Caenorhabditis elegans: one gene and its partners. The protein of the gene in region 1 interacts with the protein of each later gene in a pairwise test. Each region holds a gene or a part of one and is shown in the gene's direction. Other genes may lie near its edges.

Region 1 (7,533 bases):
TAGTCCTCAGGCAAAAGTACAGTATGCTGGGCATCCGATGATTCCGTAATGGTAGGGTCGATGAGAGTAGACATGACGAGGTATAAATAAGAGATTAAACGACACTGAAAATATTTTAATTTTTTTGAGTCCAAATTTTTGAAAAAAAAAATCAGAAATATAACAAGGAAACAAAGCACTTTTAAAAGTCTATGTATATCTCTATTTTCTTCCGCTTTTCACATGTTTGTTTTTCCCTCAAAATCTCCAAAATTCTTAAGTTTACTCCTTTTTTCCAGAAAAACTCTAATATTTAAGTGATAACACCCACGCAGAGTGCAATTAAATATCGATACAACAATTCATTATCATCATCAAATAACAAACAATTAACAAATGAGGCATCGACACTCTCGAAGTAGCACAAAAATTGAGTGAGGTGGCTCTTGCACAGAGAGCGAGAGCATAAGTGTGTGCTCTGGCTCCGCCTATTTTTTCGGAGCTCTGGGAGAGAAGGATAGAGAGAGAGAGAGGGAAGAAGGGATTTCCCGAGGCTCCCGGCAGGAAGTGTTGGGAGCCAGACAGTGGGAGCAGGCACAGAGTACGAAGAGCAAAGTGGAAAGATGGGAAACAACAAATTATGTTATGAGGAAGTTTTTTGGCAGATTGGTTATGAAACTTTGCAGAACTTTAATGCGTTACTGTAAATTTAAGGGAAAGTAGGTTCCATCGAGCGTACTTACGAAAATTGTACTGTAGCTCACTATCAGTACACTGTACTTTCGAAACATTTTTCTGGATTTCATCTTTCTGGAATTTTTGAATTTTCAATATGGAAAAAATGTACTTAAACTTCATTCGAAAATTATATGACTTCAAAGGAATAGGGAGGTTAATCGAAAAGTTACTGAAGTTTTCGAATTTTTGTTGGCCATTTTGCTTACACAAGTGCGCCCCACTTCACACTGATGTCTCTTTTGAAAATATAATAATAAGTCAATCGAAAAATACCGATTGTGTGAATTTTTCTATACTGTCCCTATTCCCCCTTTCATCTCCCCCCATTGACCACTTCTCCCCATCCCCTCCTCCTATTATGCGTAACACCCGGCATGTCTAGGCCACGAAAGTTGTGGTTCGTCGTGCAGTCATGTCCGAGTGGTTAAGGAGATTGACTAGAAATCAATTGGGCTCTGCCCGCGTAGGTTCGAATCCTGCTGACTGCGTTAAATTTTTTTCAATTTTTTCGCACATTTTTTTCGTTGTAACTTCGAAATTGTACAAAATGAAAATATACTTGATAATAAACCAAAACGTGCAGTCATGTCCGAGTGGTTAAGAATGTCCGAGTGGTTAAGGAGTTTGACTCGAAATCAAATGGGCTCTGTCCGCGTAGGTTCGAATCCTGCTGACTGCGAATCTTTTTGAATCTCGTCAGTCGATGTAACTTTTGTATCGAAACCATTTGGAGAAAAACGATGGAGGAGGAAAGGGCGTGTTGACATTATTTTATTTATCGAAAAACTGAAAATTCTTGTTCACACGAGACCAGGCCACATATTTTCACAATGCGTCATATCAGTTGGGGGCATTGAATCATTGTTCTTCAATATTTTTATCAGTTATTCTTCAATGAATGCACCTGGGATTCCATACCTATCATCATTATGAGTGTTGAAATATTGTTTCGTCCTCTCTTCCAATCATCTTCTCTTGTTGTTAGTTCCAATGCCTCTCCTTCCTCTCATATGTTCTAACACTTCTTGTGAGACAGACAGTTGGCATAGAGTTCCTCGACGCAGATACCTATACAGTTACAACACTATTTGCCCTGGGGCGTACTTACATTGATTTTCTTCACTTTTCTTAACTATTTAACATACTTTTTTTAAGATGGGCTTCATCTCATTATTGATTTTTCACCCTAGAGAAACCAATTCAGTACTTCGGAGACTATAGAACTTTTCTAACTTTCCGAAGTTTTAAACGGAAATATTGGAATCCACGTTATTTTCTAATTGCCTCAAACTGAAACTATCTGAAATTTTTATTTTCAAAGAAACTAAAAAAGCAATTTTAGTATCTGAATTTTTGGATGTTGTTCTTACTTGACGGAAAGAAAATACGTGCAATACGTTCATGTGCAGACAACGGTCTTTTTTCAGAAATGAATAATAGTTGCTAGTATTATTTTTTTCTTAAACTTCCAGGCTAATTTCACCTACAAAAATTCCAAAAAATAGCAATGGGTGGATTTTCGATATTTTCGCGAAACACGAAGCCCATTTACGCAAAAGTGAGCACAATGGATGCTGATTTGGAGAAGATTGTAATTGAGAAAACATGGACAGGAAGACATTTATTTGAAGCAGTTTGTCGAATTATTGGATTACGGGAAACTTGGTATTTTGGACTACAGTTCACAAATAAAAAGAATATTCCATGTTGGTTACAGAATGATAAAACTGTGAGTTTTTGTTGAATACATTTTTGGGGATACGGTATTTCCAACAATAAAACCAAATTCTAATTATCAAATTAAAATATTTTGGGAAAAATAATTTCTCTGAAAATAATTAATTTTTGAAATTTTCCAGATCTGTGGCCAAGACATCCAAAAAGACACATCTGATGGAACTTTTAATTTCTTATTTCTTGTCAAATTCTATCCAGAAGACGTGGAACCTGAGATTATTCTAGATGCCACTAGACATTTGTTCTTTTTACAAATACGAGAAGCAATACTTTCAATGAATCTATATTGTTCACCTGAAGCAAGTGTTTTATTGGCCAGTTTTGCAGTTCAAGCAATGGTAAGATTTTTGTATTTTAACTGGGTTTTACAAAATATGAAAATGCCATTTAAATTCCTTTATTGAACTTTTAAAAGATCGTCAGTTGAGAAAGTGTTTAAAATCACTCATAAAATTTTTAATATATTTCTGAAAAATTGAGAATTACAATATCGAAATTTACCAAAACTTTTGCTGTAAAATTTTGAAAATCTAAAATTTTCAGAAAGGATATTTGAAGAGTATTTGAAAATCCCATTTTCTTCCAGAAAAATTGGCAAAACATTTTCAAGTGCCTGAAAATGTTTCTGAAAAACTATCTATATACACTTTATTCAAAATCTAGTAAAAACGAATTAATTTTCAGCATGGCGACTGTACAGAAGAAGTTGGTCCAATTGATCTTGACAAGCATTTACCAAAAAGTGTGATTGATCAATATGATATGAGTGCTGATATGTGGAGAGATCGAATAAAACGATGGTGGTCACGGAATGCAGGACAATCAAGAGAAGAAGCTGAACTTGAGTATTTGAGAGTTGCACAGGATTTGGAGATGTATGGAATATTATATTATCCTATTTGTGTAAGTTATTTGAGAGATTCTGTTTGAACGGTTGTGGACATTTGAATTTGAGATACATAATTTTATTTATTTTCAGAATAACAAAGAAACTGACTTACATCTTGGTATATCCGCTCAAGGGTTGGGAATCTATAAGGGAGTGAATCGAATAACACCTCGGCCGTTTTTTAGTTGGAGTGAGATTAAGAATATTCAATTTAAGAATCGAAAGGTAATTTTTTTAAAATTTTCTTTTCACGATTTCCATTGTACGTTCAGTTTCACATGAAAACCGTCGACAAATCCACAATATCATTTCGATCACGAGAGACATCAATTGATTCTTCAATATTGGATCTTTGCATTGGAACACACAATTTGTATTTAAGGAGGAGGCAGCCAGACACGTTAGAGGTATGTGTCTTTTATAGTAGGGCAACTTGAAAATTTCTATTCAGTTTTCTACGAAATGATAACTGTATATTTCAGGTTCAACAAATGAGATCACAAGCAAAAGAAGACAAGCAACGTCGAGCAGCAGAACAAGCAAAAGTTGCATTGGAACGAAAAGAGAGGCAGCAAATGGAAAAAGAATATAAGGAAATGAAACAAAAAGTTGAAGTGATGACTTTGGAATTAATGAAAGCTCAAGAAAATATACGAAAGGCAGAAGAAGCGAATGATCAATTAGCAGAGAAGGCACGACACAGTGAACATGAAACTTTGATGTTGTACAAGCAAAAAAGTGAAGTTGAAGCTGAATGTAATCGATTAAGTATGAATAATATGAAGGTAAAAAATCAAATTAATTATGAAATTAAAGTTTAATTTTCAGTCCGAAGAAGCTCTGTTGAGAATGGAACGAAAAGCTCGGGAAGCTGAGATTTTGGCAAAGCAGATGTCAATGTCACTAGCAGATGTAAGCCTTGACGCGAATCGGAAAATGACACAGTATTCGAGTCAGTCTGCGTTGATTATTGATCCGGTAAGTTAATGGAAAATCTTCCCATTTTGAGTAAATCTTGACAAAACCGTAATGGGATTGATAGAGGATATACTCGATTAATACGGTTTAGAAACTTTCAGAATTGGCATCAACAAGTATCTGGTCATCAATCAGGTCATCCTGGTATGCCATCAACAGGATCATTTCATCAACTGCAATCACTTGACAGTTAGTTTTTTTAAAGGCACAATAAAAAAGTCTATTCCAAAATAGTATAGAAGTATAATATCTATAGCAACTTTTGCATGATAATTTTGGCAATGGGCGTAAAACTATGTTTAAAAGTTAAGAATAAAAGTTTGCCGAGTCAAAAAAGTCTAGATCACATAATAAAAACCGACCCCCTAATCAGTTTATCGAATTTTTTTTTGATTATGTAACTTCAACATTTTCTCACAGCCAGGTATTTGCAAAGTTGCCTCAAAAAAGAGAACACTAAAAAATATTTTGGTAATGATATTATAAATTCAAGATCTTCAAATGAGAATGTGTCTAGTTGTAAACTAATTTATTGTTTGTAATGCCAATTTGGGAATGAAATCGCAAGCCAAGTTGCTACTGTTTTTGACCAATCCACGTCTTGTTAGAAATAAGAAATAAGAAAAATATGATTATATTTATACGGAAACAACATTTTCAGCACACACTCATCCTCAACAAATGATGTCTCGAAGTCTGAATATGCCATCATCTGCATTTTCCTCCCCAATTCCTTCAAATCAACCACTTTCTCATCAACAACCACAACAAATGTCTCAAAATACTCAAGCTCATCAACAACAAACTCAAGTTCAAAATCAGAATCAACCGCCATATTACGGAGGATCTGGTATGATTATTCCACCACCCGATCCTTCAATTAGTCAGATTTTCGAGCAACAGACTACTCTGATGGAGTTGGAAAAATCAAGGTTAGTTTGGTAATTAAAAAAAAAGGATAACTGAATTATATGCTAGCAGAGTTGAGCAATGGAGGTACAATCCTAATAGAGAATAGTATGTGACATTAGAAATTTTTTCAGGTCAGAATACGAAACACGAGCGCGAATCTTCAAGGAGCACCTGGAAGAATTACGTGGCGATATTGACGGCCTGAAACGAGACGGTAATGTACAAAATGGGCAGCATCGAGAGCATGATGCGGTTCATGCACAAAATGTGGCACACGGTTTTGATAAGTTCACGACGATGAGAATGGTAAGTAGATAATTTAGCAAGTTCTGTTAGCATGCTACCGTTCTGAACGGTTACTAAGCTGATCTCATGATCAGAAGGTCAAAAGTTCAAAAAGTTATTAAATCTCTTTTTCATCCTATTCTATTATATGTTAAGCTTCTAATTTATTAAAATTTCGCGCGTTTGGCATTTGTAAGTTTGACGCTTAACTTCGGAATATCTCCAGAAAAAATCAAAAAGCGCAAGCTCAATTGGCTCATCGGGTTCCTCCGATTCCTTGGAGCTCAATACTGTCGCTAGACATGTGGCGGGACGAGGGATTCCACGTGTCTCTACAGTATCCACTACGAGCTCGTCAAGTATTCTGAGCCACGTCATGATGCTGCATAGACAGCAGTCTTATGATTTGGGAAACACTGAATGGCAGGAAGCTGACATTTGAATATAGTGAGAAAATAGTGCCAGAGTTTGATTGTTGTGTGGTAGAGCGTGTTTGCATATTGACTAATTTTCCAATTATTGTTTTCTAACACTTGTTGATTGGTATTTTTGTTAGAGTTGAAAATAAACATTCATGGTTCAAGCGCTCTATGAATAAATTCAATAATATGCACACTGTAATTGTTTTTTTTTGACTTAAAATTTAAAAATCAGGAATCGCAACAATGAACGCAGCGCGAAAAATATTTCTTAGAGCGCAATCGTTACGTCGGGTACTGACACGAGATTATTTTTTCCGCTACAGTATCCAATAGTAGACGTTCCATCGTTTATTTGGAAATTCTTTTTCTTGAGTTTTTATGTTTTTGTAGTAAACCTATTCAGGGAAAATAAGATTTTCACAACAAAAACTCGAAAAATTTTTAAAAATAGAAAGAAACAAGAAAAAGCAAAACCCAGGGTACGGTATCTGAAAAGTTTCGCTCGCGCTAAGACTTTATTAATTTTATTAATTGATTCAAAAAATCACACATTTTTTAGTGAAACTATATCTTTGAATTTCACAAACCTGTCCGTCGGTGTATTTTGTTGTGATTTTTCAAATTTTGAAATGAACATTAGTGTGGTATTGATTGATTATTCTTCTCATTTTCCAATTATAATTTTCTTATAATTTCAGAGTATGCGAGGAACTCCACGACAACGAGCACAAGCTTTTGATGGAATGTGATAAGAAACTTTATGGCCATTTATGAACCGATTTTCCTTTTTTTTCTTCAGTTTTTCCCCATCCCGATAAGAGATAACCCCATTTTGTGCTCATTCAGTTTATTGATTTTTCCACACCCTTTTGCCATTTTTCAATCAATAATCTTTCGTGGCAAGACAAAAACGCGTATTTTTCTTCTTTTTTCCGAAAGGCATATTGTGTAAATATACATATCGAATGATTGATGAATACAGATTTTTTTTAAATGTTTTTTTATTAACTTAAAATAATGAAAAAATCTGTAATTTATTAATTCATTTCCAGCAAAAATGGGCGAAAAATTCAAGGTTTTCGTGTATGGAACCCTGAAAACAGGAGAGCCAAACTACAAGGTTCTGTCAGAAACTGACGGAGAATATCGGTAAGTTCGGGAGTACTGAAGAATTTTGAGTGTCAAATGTGATGCATTACTTCTTTCAGATTCATCTCATCTGGAACTACAGTGGAAAAGTTCCCATTGGTAGTTGGAACCAAATATAACATTCCATTTTTGCTTGATGATGCTGGGAATGGAAATGTGAGTTTTACAACCTGAAGTTTATTTAAACCGACGTACTTTGAAGCATATTGACAAGTAATTAAAAAAAAAGAACGAGAACGGAATCAGCTTTGGCAGGGAAACAAAGATGAATAAGGAAATTTTAAAGAAAGAAACAGAAAAATGATTATGCGCACGGTTTAAAGGGAGTATAAATGCCAAAAACTTGTTTAGATCCGAAATTTTTTTGGTATTCAAAATCTTTGAAATTTTTTTCTTTCCTTGAATCCGGGGACTGTGACAGGGGGAAACTAAAAATTGTAGGGG
Region 2 (8,002 bases), on another chromosome or scaffold:
CACAGAGATGCCGATGGTGAGCGTAGGGCCCAGCGCACTGCCTCCCACCTATCGTTGATCAATCGATTTCTTACTCGCGTCTCGAGAGGGGCTACTCAATCAACACATTTCTAACACTTGACTAAAAGTTTTACATGGTTTAACTCTTTTCTTTTTTGTTGATAATCTTTTATCAATAGATTTCAAACTTATATGCTATTCATAGTTCATTATTGAAGCTTCTAGTTAATTATTATGACATTGAAATATTTTTTTAATTTGCTATCACAAAGAAAGAAACCAATTGTCACATAGAATCAAAAAATTGGCATTTTCTATTCAATAACCCATATATTAAATCAATAATCACTAACGCATAAAATGATCCTAAAATACTTTTGATGATTTTCAAATGATTTGTTCAAGGAAACTTAAAGCAATTTATGTGAAAATTCGATAAAACTCAGTATCAAAGAAAAAATAAAATAAAACCAAATAAAACTAAATAAAACTAGGTAAAACTAAGTAAGTAAGTAAAATCGAAAAAGATTCTAAAATATTTAAAAAAATCAGAAGTCAAAAATCCAATTCTACAAGATGATAAACCGACGAATTAATTTTTGTTCGTAATTCCTAGAACTACTGTGTTTTTCATTGCAGTATTTCTTGCAATACCATTTTTTGACTGTTTATATTTGAAATTCAATATACAAAACTGGAATTTACGTAGGATTCAAACAAAAATGTGCACATTTAGAAACAAAATTATACGAGCATTTTGAAGACGCTGGGAATCATAGAAGATCCATGAAAAATACCATGGGGTGCAAAATTGATACAAAACATACCATACCTAAAATTATTAAACGAAAAACTACACATTAAATATCAAAATAGTTTTAAAAAAATTCGTCATATAAAACATATTCTCTTTCCTCATATTTTTGTTTCGAAGTTTTTGTTTCTATTGTTTATGTTTTCGGCTAGCTTCATCATATTTTGCTTTTCATCCTGCCCATTTGTTGTTCAGTACACATGATTCAAAAACAAAAAAACTGGAAAAAACAGCAAAAACATAAGTTTCTTCATTTTGGATTTCGACCACGTCAGAGATTAACACGGATAAGCCGCGATAATCAGAACTAAACTAAACGATTTTGGAAAGAAGGTCTTCCACACGAACGCGTGTAATTATATAATTAGGAACTTGCATTTCGGGTCAGGTCACTTGAAACCTTTTAGTGTAGTTTAATCGAAACTGCGTTTGACCGCCCGAGACGGGTTTGTGTTAGTTTTTTGTTGTTGAGTATTTGTGACTTATACCAGAAATTGTCACTTTTAGTTTGGTCTTACAGTTTAGAGTATTGGTATATTATCAAATTAGATTTAATTCAATTTTAAACTAATGAAAATGTTTCTACATTGTATGTATTAGCTCACGAAGTGTCTTCTTATCATTCGTAAAATTTGGGAACATGTTGCACTGGCAACAATATTCATGGTTTAGTTTTGTTTAATTTTTTTCCAGAATACATATAATTTTGTATCATTTTTTCATGTATTCTTGTGGCGTCAATGTGTCTCATTTTGGTTTGATCTACGTAGACCTACAAAAAATGCAGGAGTTCAGACGCAGAGTTCTCAACTGATTTTGCACGGTTAAGAACGCGCTGGCGTCAATTTTTTTTCGATTGAAAAACTCCCGCATTTTTTGTAGATGAAACCGTAATGCCTGACACCGTGGGCCTGACACCACGTTTGTATTTGCATTCAAAATATTCATTCATTCAAGATGTGAAGTTAAAATTCATGTTAGTATTAGCTTCATGTAGTTTAGTTGAAAAATGACCACGTGAGAATTACGTTATTGATTAAATATTTCTAGGTATGATTGCCATATTAGCACCCAAATAAATGTCTAATTTTTCTCACCTATTTTTTTCTCGTTCTACATTCAATCTTGATGATTCACTATTTAATCGAAACTAATCTCAGGGTGAATGAATCGAGGGGACGTGATAGATCCGCGCTCGTCGGATGGCACATCATCGGATCAGCGACGAGTGCATGCAGTGCCACCGACACCCATGTATCAGGGAGAGACGAACATTTTAGACTCACTTCTAAAGGAGGCTCAGTTGAATCCAAGTCTGAAAGCGAGTGGTGAGCAATATCGAACCAGGGGTCCTGCAATTCGAAAAACTATTTTTCAGTGATGAACCACCAGGCTCAAACAAAAAGCAAGGATGACGACGAGAAGCGGTTGCAGAAGATGCTCGAAAAATATCAGCTTGAAATGAACATGCAAAGAGCAAACAGCCGGAAGGATTTACATGGAAGTGCAGGACGTGCGTGTGACATTTTTTGTTTTTTTTCTGTTTTTGGTGGATTGATGAAAATAGTATATTATTTCAGCATCACCTATCAGTCATTCTCAGCCATGTCTTATTGCGAGTGGATCAAGATCGTCAGAGTAAGTATTGGTTTTATGATGTTTTTGAAACGTTATACGGTAAACTGTAAAATTTTTTTTGAATGTATCAATAACTTTATCCACAGTGTTTCCCACTATGCATTAATTTCAGCCACACTTTTTAAATAAGGAAATTTGTAGCATTTTTTTTTTCATTTTATAAAATTATAAAAATCGTAGAAAACATTTTGGTGAATTTAATAAGTAGTAAGTGACGAATACTGAAAAATTGCTAGATTTCTCTCTTTTTTTTTTGTGAATAAAAAATTCAAAAATTATAACAAGAGTTTCATTTTTATATTTAATCACTATATTCGTATGGAAAAACTTTTAAACAACTTCCGCACAGGTTTTTAGCTAAACGATTATCTAAAATTAAAACTTCCTACTTTCAAGTTGCATTTCAAAAAACAAACAAACTTTTTTGACAAACTCAACATTTTTCCTGAGATATTTTTTTTACAAAAAAAAGCTTGACCTTCTTCTTTTAAACATTAATAATTTCAGTATTCCCCCAAATGAATCAAAAATGAGCACATCTGCCTATCAGCGTAGGGCATCTGCATCTGGAGATCAAGCACTTGACGTCCCCACATTGAGCCAAACTAACAGAGTAAGAACTTCAACAAGCAACAGCAAAACAAACAATTATTTTAGGGAGTATCCAGCAACCAGAAGCTCATTCAAATTCTCCGCGAGGAGAATGTGCACTTGAAAAAAGAGCTCGACGCTTTCAAGCGCAGTCTTTCAAAACTACAACAGGTTTGTTGGAAGTTTCAAAATAGTGGGAAACCTAAATGCTTGCAGATTGAATACTCATATGCTCGACTGGAAAAAGAATACGAATACTTGGCAAATGAACGAAAAAAGCAAGAAAATTTAGAGCTGAACGTGATTATTCAATTGGAAAAGTCTGTAAAAAAGTAAGTTGGTTGAAAATCTTGTCGGTAAAAAGAGACAACAATTTTCTGATATTTATATCTAATGAAGGCAATATAAAAAAGTTTCCATTTAAAAATGAATTGAAAACTATTTCACAAAATTCACGAGCAGCACTTTTTTGTTGTTTGGGGCAAACTAGACAAACATTGAACACAACTAATATCATTGAAGTTCACAACAATAATGATTTGATTAAACAAACTTGGGCAAAATACTCTTCGCATTTGGCTCTTGCAACTTGCCCAAGTTTGGCCCAAAAAATCTTAACTTGGCTTAGAAGTTGGCTAAACTTGAGAAAAAGGATTGAGACTGCACCAGAGTTTAACCAAAGCCGAACTCTACTCTTACCCTACTTTAAACCCAACTCTTGCCAAACTTTGGCCCAAACTTTTCTTGTTTCGTTTCAAACTTTGGTAGAAGTCTGGCGAGAGTTGGGTGAAACTTGTGTTGAACTTTGGTGTAATTTTTGCCGAAGTCTTGCCTAACTTTTGGCCAAGTTGCGCCAATCCATGTTGATATTTTGTAGGACAAAGTTGGGCAAGAAGCCAGAACCAAATGCCGAGTAAGCAAAAAAAAGCTTATTTCATACAAAGTTTTACACGGGCATATTTTTCTGAAATTTTACAATATTTTTATTTTAAAAAGTTTATCCAAAAAAAAAACTGACAAGCGGCAATATATCAAACAAACATCCAATCAACAGGAAAATCCATTATCTTCTAAAAATCTTAGTTTCAGACTTACCATCGAAAGAGACGACTTGCAAATGCGGCTGGAAAAAGCAAGTACTGAACCAACGATGGTGGCGAACCTGATGTTAAACGAAATTCAGCAGAGTGAGGAGAAAAAAAGAAATAAATTTGATACAATAGAACTGGAAACAGAGAAGCAGAATGAGAAATATGAAAAAAAAAACGAATAAAATACTTATACAATTGATTTTTTTCCGATTCAGGGCAAGAACTCTTCGCATGCAAAGAGCGGCAAAAAATGGAGATTGAGGCACAGAATCAGACGTTGGAGGAGCAACGAAATCATATTGCAATGCTTGAGAAGGCACTCGCCAATTCACAAGAGAGATTGGCGAAGCGGGAAAAAGTATGGAATATTTGTGGGAGAATGTGCTGAGCGGAATGGATAACATTTCCAATTTATTTATGGGAAAATGGGGGGAGAACAAAAGTATAGGACCACAACAGTGTACTTTTGATAAAAGTGAACAGTTGTTTGGGTATTTTGTGAATATGGAGAATTTCTGAACATATAGACTAAAAATGTTTTCAAATGAACGAAATTCGTAATGAAACTTCTCCAAAAATTTAAAATTTTTTTTTCCTGACTGTTAGCTAAAATCTCTAATTTAGAATATTTTACCGTGTCGCAGTAGTCGGAAATTGAAGTTTTTGAATTATGATCTCACTTCGTTGATTATGGTACATTTAGAGCCCATTGGTGGCCAGGTTTGGTCACCTTTGGCCACTTTTTCGGTTTTTAAGGATTTTGATCAACATGACTTCATAACGAGACAACCCAAAAATAAATAAAAAATTGTCTCACTAGCCGGAAATCAATTTTTACTTGAAATAGATTTTTAACAGTTGTCTCATTTTTTTTGTTTTTGATGAGACACTCCAATTGATATAATAATGAATAAAAGTGAAACGCGAAAAAAATTTGCAAACTGACGTGGGAAAATAAGAAATGAAAAAAAACTTCCATGTGATACAAACAACAATTGAAAACGTGCTGTGTTTAGAAACATTCAGAACTTGTCTATCAATTTTTTTTCTATTTTCAAGGTAATTTTAAAGGCACTCAAATAGTTATGTACCATTACTTTTGCATTCATATTCAAAAAATATTGCGAAATTCAAATTTTAATTTAACTTTGCAATATACCTTGCACTTCCGGACTTCTCTAAAAAATGTTTTTTGCTTTCTTAACTTACATTAAAAATATTTTTTAAAGCTCCCAAATCAAAACTGTTTTCTTGATAGTACGTTATCTTTTTTTTGAAATTAAAATTCAATAAGAAACACTTTTTCTAGAAATGCGAAGAATTGTCCGCTGTAGTGGCACACGCTGATGAGCTGCGAAAGCAACTAAACGAAGTATGGGAAGAACAACATCGGAGGGATCAGATGGTTGAGTCGGAACGGGCTCAGTGGGAAATGGAGAAGACTCAGCTAAGAATGCAATTGAACAAAGACACATCACTCACTGGAAGTCTTAAGGTTTGTCTCGAAACAGGGAGAGAAATAGTAGTAAATGAAAGTAATGTGGGGTGTGCTAGGAAAAGGGGGGGGGGGGGCGACAACATTTGAACCGGTTCCCGATTATGGGGTTAAATGTCCGGTAATGAAAGTTTTATTGATATAGATCAGCACCGGTCTCAGTATTTTTTTTCTGAAAATTAGATGGGACGCCTATAGGTTAGTACATTTGAAAACGTTTGCAGAGGGTCTAAAGAGCGTCATCATTTTTCTAATATATACCATTAAAAAATGGAGAATTAAAAATTTTTCTAGCATCTCATAATTTTTTTACTGGAAATTAAAATTATAAACTATTATTATTAGTTTATCTTCTATAACAATCTTATCCTAGATATTGCCGTCTAAGCCGTCTTTGTACATAGTAGTACATAAGCCCTGAAATAGAACATGCCAGAACATCTATAGAATTACTCATGGAATTACTAACCACTACTCATTTGCATAATCATCAATTTTGCAGCGAACCACTACTCCCGGCAGCACAGAGGATCTTATTCGAATGCGAAAGAGCATTCAATCAAAAGACGACAAGATTCAGCAACTCGAAAGAATGGTGAACGATTTGCGAAAGTTTGTTTTTTTTTCTTTCTCTCTTCTTTTATTCTCTTCGTTTGTTGAAGAACTGAGCCGAAAACGGAAATGGAGAGCAGAATTGAAAAAGCTTTTTTTAGAACTCACGGTGACAAAACTGAGCAACGGAAGTCAACTCTTGCAACAATAACTGACAACTTTGAAACCCAGGTGGACAAATTGAAAGAGGAGAGTTATGAAAAGGTGAGGCAAGAACTGCTGCTAAATTTTTTATACAAAATTTAAAACAAGTGAAAACATTTATAAGGGATCTTTTCAAAAATAGAGACGTTACTTTTCAAGGTTACGTGTTTTCTCACAGAAAATGTTTTCAATAAATTGTTTAAAGTTTCCCAGTTGCCCCTTATACATATTAACATAATTTATTGTTACATATACTATATAGCACTAAATTTTCGGTCATAAACCCAGTTTATAAAAGCCTCAACAACCGCTCTCTTTCGTGTCCTCGGTAGTATAGTGGTGAGTATCCGCGTCTGTCACATGCGAGACCCGGGTTCAATTCCCGGCCGGGGAGAATCTTTTTGCCTAATAACTTTGGGAGTTTAATTCAAGAGAGTAATTTTAGATTGGTATATTTAATTATCGCGCCTAGAATAAATAAAAATGTTTCTGATATTTGATATACTAGAAATGAGCTTTATTTCTATTATAGAGAACATCAGAAAACACACTTTGAAATGAGCTCACAAATTACAACGGGCATATTCGATGAATAATTGATAAATTTTAGGATCTGATCATCAACGAACTGAGGTCGGAGCGGGACAAATATGCAGCAATGGTAGATAAAAGTGAGTATATGAAGCCCTAGTCGGGAAAAAAGAAAGGCAAAGGGGGAAGCGTCGACTGCATTTCTTTTGGCATGTGAAAAGAGCACTCTTCTTCCTCTCTCCTTTTTTTTCTCATTTCTTTTCTTTTTTTCCAGACAGCGGAGACGAGGCACTGAGTAGAATGGAGGAAATTAGACAGAAAATACAGGAAAGGAAGAAAAAAGGTCGAATGGGCGTGACTGGAGGGTAAGACGCAGTTTTATTAATTGCTCAAATAAATCAAATATAATTTCCTTAATTCCCATATTCCAGGCTATCAGAACATGCAAGAACTTCATCGGGCTCGTTGATGCAAAATTCTCTTCATCGGAGGTGAGACAAAAAATTATGAGACCGTTGTTTTTTCTTCCTAGGAAACTTTGCAAAAAGTACTCAAAATTTGAGTTTTCTGAACGAAAGCAAAACTACAGTGAATCTTGAACTTTTCTCTAATTGTAAGTTCCTTTTTAAGTTAGTTTTTGAGTATAAAATTTTCAGTTGAATACTTTCTAGAAACACACATAGGTCAAGCTGAAAATACTAGCTCCAGAATCTATTACGATTCGATAAACATCTTCAAAAGTAACAAACTATACAAAAAAAGTTGCAGATCATCATCTGGATCATCATTCGACCCTGTACCGACTGCTCCAATTCCTTACAATATGTTCAAAAATAGTAACAATAACAAGTCAATACTTGCGGATAACCAATTTTCTTGAATATTCCTCATGCACTAGTCATCGAAATTCTATTTATTATTTACAAACACGCTACCAACAACACACTTTCCTTCTTTGTTACTTTCTGTTACATGCATAATTCAATTTATTTTTCAATTCAAGTTTCCAAAGTCCATTCCTCTTAATACAATTTGTATGTAGTTTTGTTCTTTTAATTTTTAGCCAGTTTAGATGATGTACTTGTA
Region 3 (6,411 bases), 1.1 Mb from region 1:
AACTGGCGGGCCCGCAGGGCCCGCTAGTCTATTATCATCATTTGATATTATAATAGTTTTCTCCCATTTGGATGATCATCTACAAAATACGCATTGATATCTCAACAAAGGGGTTCTGAATGAATTTTTGTGTAGGCAAGAAACGCTCGCCTGCTTTTAATTCAAAAAATGGATAGTCTCAGGTATCAGGTACAAAAATTCGTCTGAAGACCTGAATGCCAGGGAAGTGTAACTTCTGGTTTTAGCAAAGTTAGCTGGTTGTACGGAATTAATTCAAATTAGTTGAGAAACAGTTGAATCGCCGAGCCAAAATGCAGAAAATAGGTGGTAGGCAGGTATGAGGAGCCTGTAGATATGCCTGCCATCCATGCCCTAAATAAACGTTTTGAAAAACTGCATTTCCGCAAAAACCGTACATCTACTTTGATCTCTCCATTTCCAATTTTCCATGTGATCATCAGTAGCTAGTCAAAAACAATTTACCAAAAGATCAACATATTCTTCAATTTCTCTATAGACTTTCAAAAATCAAACGATTATTATTATTCGTCTTATCATTTTATTTTTACCAGGGCTATGATCACCTTTTTTCTGTATCAGAATTCAAAAAATCAAACTTGAATCGGAAGTGAATGGAAATAAGTTTGCAGGGATTGAATAGTTACTACAACAAATGTTAAGCAGACTCTTACAATAATTATATTAGTCTGTAGACATTCCACCATTGAGCTGTCAAAGAAACGAAGCAGACAGAATTGAAATGTTTAATAACTAGATAAATAAACAAATAATAATCTCATGTATTACAGTTTAATTGATAGATAAAACATAATCATGCACTTTTAAACTTTGCAAATGATAGGGCTACAGTACCCATGATGTCAAACAAATTGCAATTTTTCAATTTCAAAATTGATCAACTATTTCCTTTAAAGGTTTCTGATCACAAAGAAGAAAATCACTCGTATTTTGTACCCGGTCTCGACGCGACAATTTTTTGTAAAATGCGAAAAAGTATGCGCCTTTACAGAGTAATTTCAAACTATCGTTTCGAATTTTCAGAATGCTTGACATTACAATTTAATTTTTAATTTTAATTTAAAGGCGCACACCTTTTCGAAACTAACAAAAAATTAGCGTGTCGAGACCGGATACCGTATTTTTTTTCGCAAAATTTCGTTTCTGGGTTATATGACTTCAATAACTTATAGATACAAACATCAGAAGCTTCCTAGACACAAAATACAGAAAACACATGTTCACTCTTCAAATATACATTTTTATTGTTCTTCCTGTTTCATTAAAAGTGTAAAAACCGAGATGATGATGATATTGATAGTGTGAGATGTAGTTCATAATGATGCTACTAGATAACATCAATGATCGCATTTCACAGATCTACAGCTGAATTATCACCTAATGTAAGCAACGAATATTGCGATTATTGCTCCAAAAATACGGTACCCGGTCTCGACGCGACAAATTTTTGTTTAAAAAAACAGGTGCGTCTATAAAGAGTACTGTAATTTCAAACGTTCGTTTCTGTAGAAATTCCCGTCTGGGACAACAACTTTTCGAAATCCTCGAATAAAAATGTTCAATTTTCTGTTAAAACAATTAGTAGGTAATCTGAAAAAGCCAACAAACAGAAAAGAAGAAATATTCCGAAACTCTTTCCTTGTTGCACATTTTCCAGTTTCTGTGTCTCCGAAAACTCCCATTCCGATAGGCCAGTGCAAGTGCGCTCCATGGCTCTACTGGTTTTCTTCAATGAAACAATTTTATTGATTTCAATATCGTTTCTTTCGTTTTTTTAGTGTTTAATCATATTTTATTCATTAATTATTTAAAAATAAATATTCAAATTTTATTAAATTTCAGATGGAAGAAGAAAATACACCGGAAGTCCAATTTGAACAAGATGAAAACGAGGAAAACACCCTTCAAATCGTAGACAGCGACCTTGTCATCGAGAACTCTGTCACGGAGAATGTTCCCTCAGAAAATCAAGATGTAGAGATGGAAATAGTATCCGATTCGGAAGAACCTCTAGAACCTCCTGTGCCGGTTGCAGTGAATTTTGAAGAAGCACCAGTAGAAGAAGTTCCAGGGGAACAAGAAGCAGTGCTGGTCGAAGAAGAAGAAGAAGAAGTACCTGCAGAAGCAATTGAAAAATCTCATGAACAAAGAGAATCCTTCATGGAAATGTTTAGAATAGCTCCGAGAATTCGAGATATTCTACCAGATTTGCGCGTTTTTATGAGCCATCCGGACGTTTTAGACGAAGATCGGAAAGAAGTTGAGGCTTTAGTAGAGGCAAAAATTCAAGATGAAAAGGCGAAAAAGAAAGCTGAAAAGGTATCGAAGAAAGAAAAAGAAGTTGAAAAACCACCAGTGTCATTGGAAGAAGCTGTTAAGTAGGTTTTTTTAATGCGGAAATTGAAAAAAAAAACAAATATTTTTCAGAACTGTTACCGGAATAGATTTGGCCGCAATACTTCAAAAAATTCCGAAAAATCCTCAACAAATCGCCCCTGTTACAATACCTCCGCCTGTGGTTATGCCTCCGCCTATCGTAATTCCAGGAATGCCAAATGCTCCAGCTGTTACAGGTAAAAATTGAAACTTTTTTTTAAAAAGAATCACAAAAATGCCTCAAATTGGTTCTGTGAAGCTTCAAAGATCACAAATTGTCATCTAATTTGAATTTCGCGCGAAAATGAGTTTTCTATGATACTCGACCGTGTACTCCTCTCGGACAATTAACGAATTAAACTTTTAGATTTTAGACGATTAAAAAAAATGTTTTAGATTTTTTCCATCAGCAAAACGAAAATGATCATATATCCATTTATTTATTTTGAAGCAAAAAGCCGTGCAAAATCATCAAAAACAACCTAAAATCATAAAAATTAATTGATTAATTACCCGAAAGAGGTAAACGGCTGAGTATCAATCTCAAATTCGACTATACCACATTAAAGAAGGAGTTTTTAAAATTAATATAAAAATCTTGCCGCAGAGAGAAAATTTTTTAATACTTTTTTCAGAAGTTCTGAATCTGGTTTCACTGCCGTTAAATGCCAAACCCGTGCCAATCCCAATTGCGTCTTCAGTAATAGCACCCAATTATGCAACTGCGCCACCGATTGTGAGTTTTTTTTTCTAAAAATGTTTTTTTTTCGAATTCTCAAATTTTCAGGCTCTGACAGACCCGAACGTCGCTTCAATTGGACACGGAAAAGCTGGATTTTCTACGCCTCATCCGAATGAAATTCCAATTGAACTAAGACAGTATGTTATTTTAAAAAAAAAACCTTTATTTTAAATATATCTATTTTTTCAGTTCCAAACCAGACATGATTGCTCCAATTCCAGATGAGCTAAGAAATCTTGGGTATGTCCAATTGTATTGAAATTTCTTAACAAAAATTGTTTTCAGTGCCGTTCCAGTTGTTACTTCGATTCCTACAATTCCTAATGAGTTCCTACCTCCGTAAGTGAAATTTCAATTTAAAAAAGTCTCTACAACAAACATTTTTCAGAGAACAACGAATTCTTGGATCGTTACCACTCACTTTTGTTCGTAAGTTTTCCGTGTGAAATATTGAAGAAAAAACTAATTTTTCTCCAAATTAAGGTCCTCCGATGCGGAAATCCCTGTTTCTCTCTGGTGCAAGATCAGGAAAACGATGTGACAGAATTAAAATGCAGAGAAAGAAGGATAAAAAGGAAGTAAAATTGGAAAAGAAGCTGGAAAAGAAGTCAGAGGATGTAAGATATTTTTAAAAATTTCAGAAATGTAGTGATTTTGCTTTGAATTGCACAAAATGACTACAATATTACAAAGAAAAATGTTTTTTAAAAAAGTATATGAGAAGTTTTGGTTCAAAAATGTCGAAAAATCCATTGAGTGGGGAATGTTCATTCGGAAAAAAAAATATAATGACCGATTGTGCAATTTTAGGCCTTTTGTCAAAAAAAAATTTCAGTCTCTGGAATCAGTGGAAAAACGGCCCCGTGGCGGACATAGAGGTCGAGCTGGTGCAGGCAGATCAAGCTTTGAAGCAACAGGAATGAATGCTCTTCCTCAAGGACTCAACAAGAATTCTCCGCTTGCTGTTAAACGTTATCATGCTCGTCAACTTGCCAAAGAAACTGGAATGACATTGGAAGAAGCTATGGAAGAAATTGAAGAACAATGTAATGCATTTGGAGGTGAAGATACTCCAGAAGCAATTGAACACGATACAAAACTTATGGAAATGATTAAGAAACGAGGTGATGAACATTGGAATCAACGACATAATTATACACCTGTTGATCATTCGAAAGGAATTCCTGGAGTCGATAGACCACCTGGTGGTAATAGGGATCGTGGTGAAAAGGTTCGGAGCAAGTCGCCAGTTACAGGAGTTGATAGACCACCAGGTGGAGACAGAATTGAACGAAGTAGGGATCGAGAACCGGGTGGTGGTGTTCCTGGGGTTGATCGGGCGCCAGGCAGAGGATCTCGTGGAATCGATCGCCCACCTGGAGGTGATTCTCGTGGTGTTGATCGACCACCTGGAGGTGGAGGAATTCCTGGAGTAGATCGGCCACCAGGAGGTGGAAGGCGCGGAGTTGATAGACCACCAGGATCTGGAATGCCTGGAATCGATCGGCCACCTGGAGGGGATCGAATGGGTGATAAGCAAAGAAGAGGAGCGAGAGGAGGTGTTAAGGAAAGAGAAAGAAAACGAAGAAGTAAGTTTATTCAACCTTTATTCCACGAAAATTCGAAATCCTTATGTTTTTTTTTAAATATTTTTAAATAACGCTTTATTTTTCAGGAGATGAATTCCAGCGAGGAGGTGGTGGTGGTGGCCGAGGCGGTGGCCGTGATGGTGGAAGAGATTATGGTGGTCCTCCGCAAAAATCTGGGCGACGTGATCGATATGATGATTAGTGAGTTCAGCAATGAGCAGAGATATAAAACACATTGAGAAAGTATACGAAAGCCCCTTTTTCTCAGCTATCTCGGAAAGTAACTTTACTTTCAATTGAAATTTTCGAAAATTTGCTCTAAAACTGACTCAAATAATGCCGATCGACACTTCACGACTTTGAGGCAGTTTGTCAAAAACTTCTCGAAGCCTTCAATTAAACATAAAAAAGTATTTGTGACTATTCGCGTTTCGAAACCCCAAAAAAATTTCAATTTTTCAAAATCTCGATTTCAGCGATCGATCGTATCAAGGAACAAGTGGATATGGACAAGATTATGATTCACAAACATATGGAGAACGTGGTTACGATGGACATTATCAAGGACAAGAGGATTATTATGGAAGGTAATAAAATTAAATATTTTAAAATGAAATTAATTAAATTTAATAAACGTTTCAGTCAAGAAGGATATGGAGAATATAATCAGCAACACTACGGTGAAGGATACGATCAACAAGGATATGGGCAAAATGGAGATTCATATTATGGACATGAAGGGTAAGGAAAATCACTTTTTTAATTGTTTGAATTGTATTTTTATTCAAAAATAATTACCTATTTTCAGCCAAGATGCATCGACATATTACCAAGAAGATGGCAGTCAATACTACAATCAATACTACGGTACTGCTCCTGCAGAAGGTGAAGCTTCAGCTGTAACTGGAACGGATTATCATGCAACATTCAGTGTACCACCACCACCGGCTCCCCCTCCGTCATAAATTTAAGAATTGGGAAAACTAAATATTTTTGAATCAAAAAACTTCCTTTTTCAATATTTTCTTCAATTCTTTCCCGATTTCTTTCAATTTCAATAGTTGACTTTTATTTATTTTTAATTTATAAAATTTCTTATATTCTTCTTCCTCCTTCTATTGTATGAATATTAAAAACAGGTCCTTCGACCCGAAAAATCCCCTTCTCAAATCTAGGTCATCATATCGGAGATAACGGACAATTATGCATAATATTCGAGATGATTATCATATCGGTCATATGAGGGGGCGGAGTCTCGCATACAGTAGTCCTTTGTCCTTGTGCGAGGGAGTTTATGAGTATAAAAGGGTCCCTGAGAGAGGAGAAATGGACACTTTTATCAAAACATTTTCCATCTTTGTTTATTTTGACGATATTTATTCGCTGATACGAATTTTTGCAATTTTTATCCCGGATACCGTATTTCTTGGCAATTCAGATTACGCGCAAATTCTAGAATAAACATGTTTTCCAGATCATGTCAGTGTTCGCGGGATATGCCGCGTGCACCCTCGGTGCCGTTTCGATGCTTCTCTGCGTCTCTCTTGTCCCACAAGTCTATCAGCAAGTCTCGATGCTCCGGGACGAGTTGACGACTGAAATGGAGGCATGGCGTCTCGAGTCCGATCAAATCTACATGGATATGCAGAAGTTCGGACGTGTCCG

Evidence for each region.
Region 2: the proteins of nfm-1 (region 1) and F59C12.3 interact in a two-hybrid assay, tested with the Caenorhabditis elegans proteins (one study listed by BioGRID).
Region 3: the proteins of nfm-1 (region 1) and F54D8.6 interact in a two-hybrid assay, tested with the Caenorhabditis elegans proteins (one study listed by BioGRID).

The regions. Positions count from the first base shown.
Region 1 is NC_003281.10:6,157,655-6,165,187, forward strand, and holds nfm-1 (FERM domain-containing protein), read left to right. Parts: upstream 1-1,834; 5' UTR 1,835-2,224; coding exon 2,225-2,446; intron 2,447-2,576; coding exon 2,577-2,792; intron 2,793-3,138; coding exon 3,139-3,357; intron 3,358-3,433; coding exon 3,434-3,568; intron 3,569-3,615; coding exon 3,616-3,750; intron 3,751-3,825; coding exon 3,826-4,128; intron 4,129-4,171; coding exon 4,172-4,321; intron 4,322-4,422; coding exon 4,423-4,510; intron 4,511-4,982; coding exon 4,983-5,253; intron 5,254-5,364; coding exon 5,365-5,539; coding exon of another isoform or gene 5,540-5,551; exon of another isoform or gene 5,552-5,744; coding exon 5,745-5,960; 3' UTR 5,961-5,965; exon of another isoform or gene 5,966-5,972; intron 5,973-6,638; coding exon of another isoform or gene 6,639-6,689; 3' UTR 6,690-6,931; downstream 6,932-7,533. Other genes in the region: anmt-2 (Nicotinamide N-methyltransferase), read right to left, coding at 1-74; F42A10.9 (Gamma-glutamylcyclotransferase family protein), read left to right, coding at 6,998-7,089, 7,149-7,245.
Region 2 is NC_003284.9:16,603,497-16,611,498, reverse strand, and holds the start of F59C12.3 (Angiomotin_C domain-containing protein), read left to right. Parts: upstream 1-1,974; 5' UTR 1,975-1,979; coding exon 1,980-2,142; intron 2,143-2,192; coding exon 2,193-2,327; intron 2,328-2,394; coding exon 2,395-2,452; intron 2,453-2,622; exon of another isoform or gene 2,623-2,847; intron 2,848-2,959; coding exon 2,960-3,065; intron 3,066-3,109; coding exon 3,110-3,214; intron 3,215-3,259; coding exon 3,260-3,375; intron 3,376-4,132; coding exon 4,133-4,230; intron 4,231-4,349; coding exon 4,350-4,492; intron 4,493-5,443; coding exon 5,444-5,629; intron 5,630-6,131; coding exon 6,132-6,241; intron 6,242-6,342; coding exon 6,343-6,445; intron 6,446-6,696; exon of another isoform or gene 6,697-6,789; intron 6,790-6,995; coding exon 6,996-7,056; intron 7,057-7,190; coding exon 7,191-7,281; intron 7,282-7,347; coding exon 7,348-7,407; intron 7,408-7,684; coding exon 7,685-7,796; 3' UTR 7,797-8,002.
Region 3 is NC_003281.10:5,101,110-5,107,520, forward strand, and holds F54D8.6 (C2H2-type domain-containing protein), read left to right. Parts: upstream 1-1,875; 5' UTR 1,876-1,881; coding exon 1,882-2,417; intron 2,418-2,466; coding exon 2,467-2,612; intron 2,613-3,050; coding exon 3,051-3,151; intron 3,152-3,202; coding exon 3,203-3,294; intron 3,295-3,346; coding exon 3,347-3,397; intron 3,398-3,442; coding exon 3,443-3,496; intron 3,497-3,545; coding exon 3,546-3,586; intron 3,587-3,640; coding exon 3,641-3,774; intron 3,775-3,992; coding exon 3,993-4,746; intron 4,747-4,832; coding exon 4,833-4,947; intron 4,948-5,222; coding exon 5,223-5,333; intron 5,334-5,388; coding exon 5,389-5,487; intron 5,488-5,554; coding exon 5,555-5,711; 3' UTR 5,712-5,911; downstream 5,912-6,411. Other genes in the region: Cuticle collagen dpy-17, read left to right, coding at 6,224-6,411.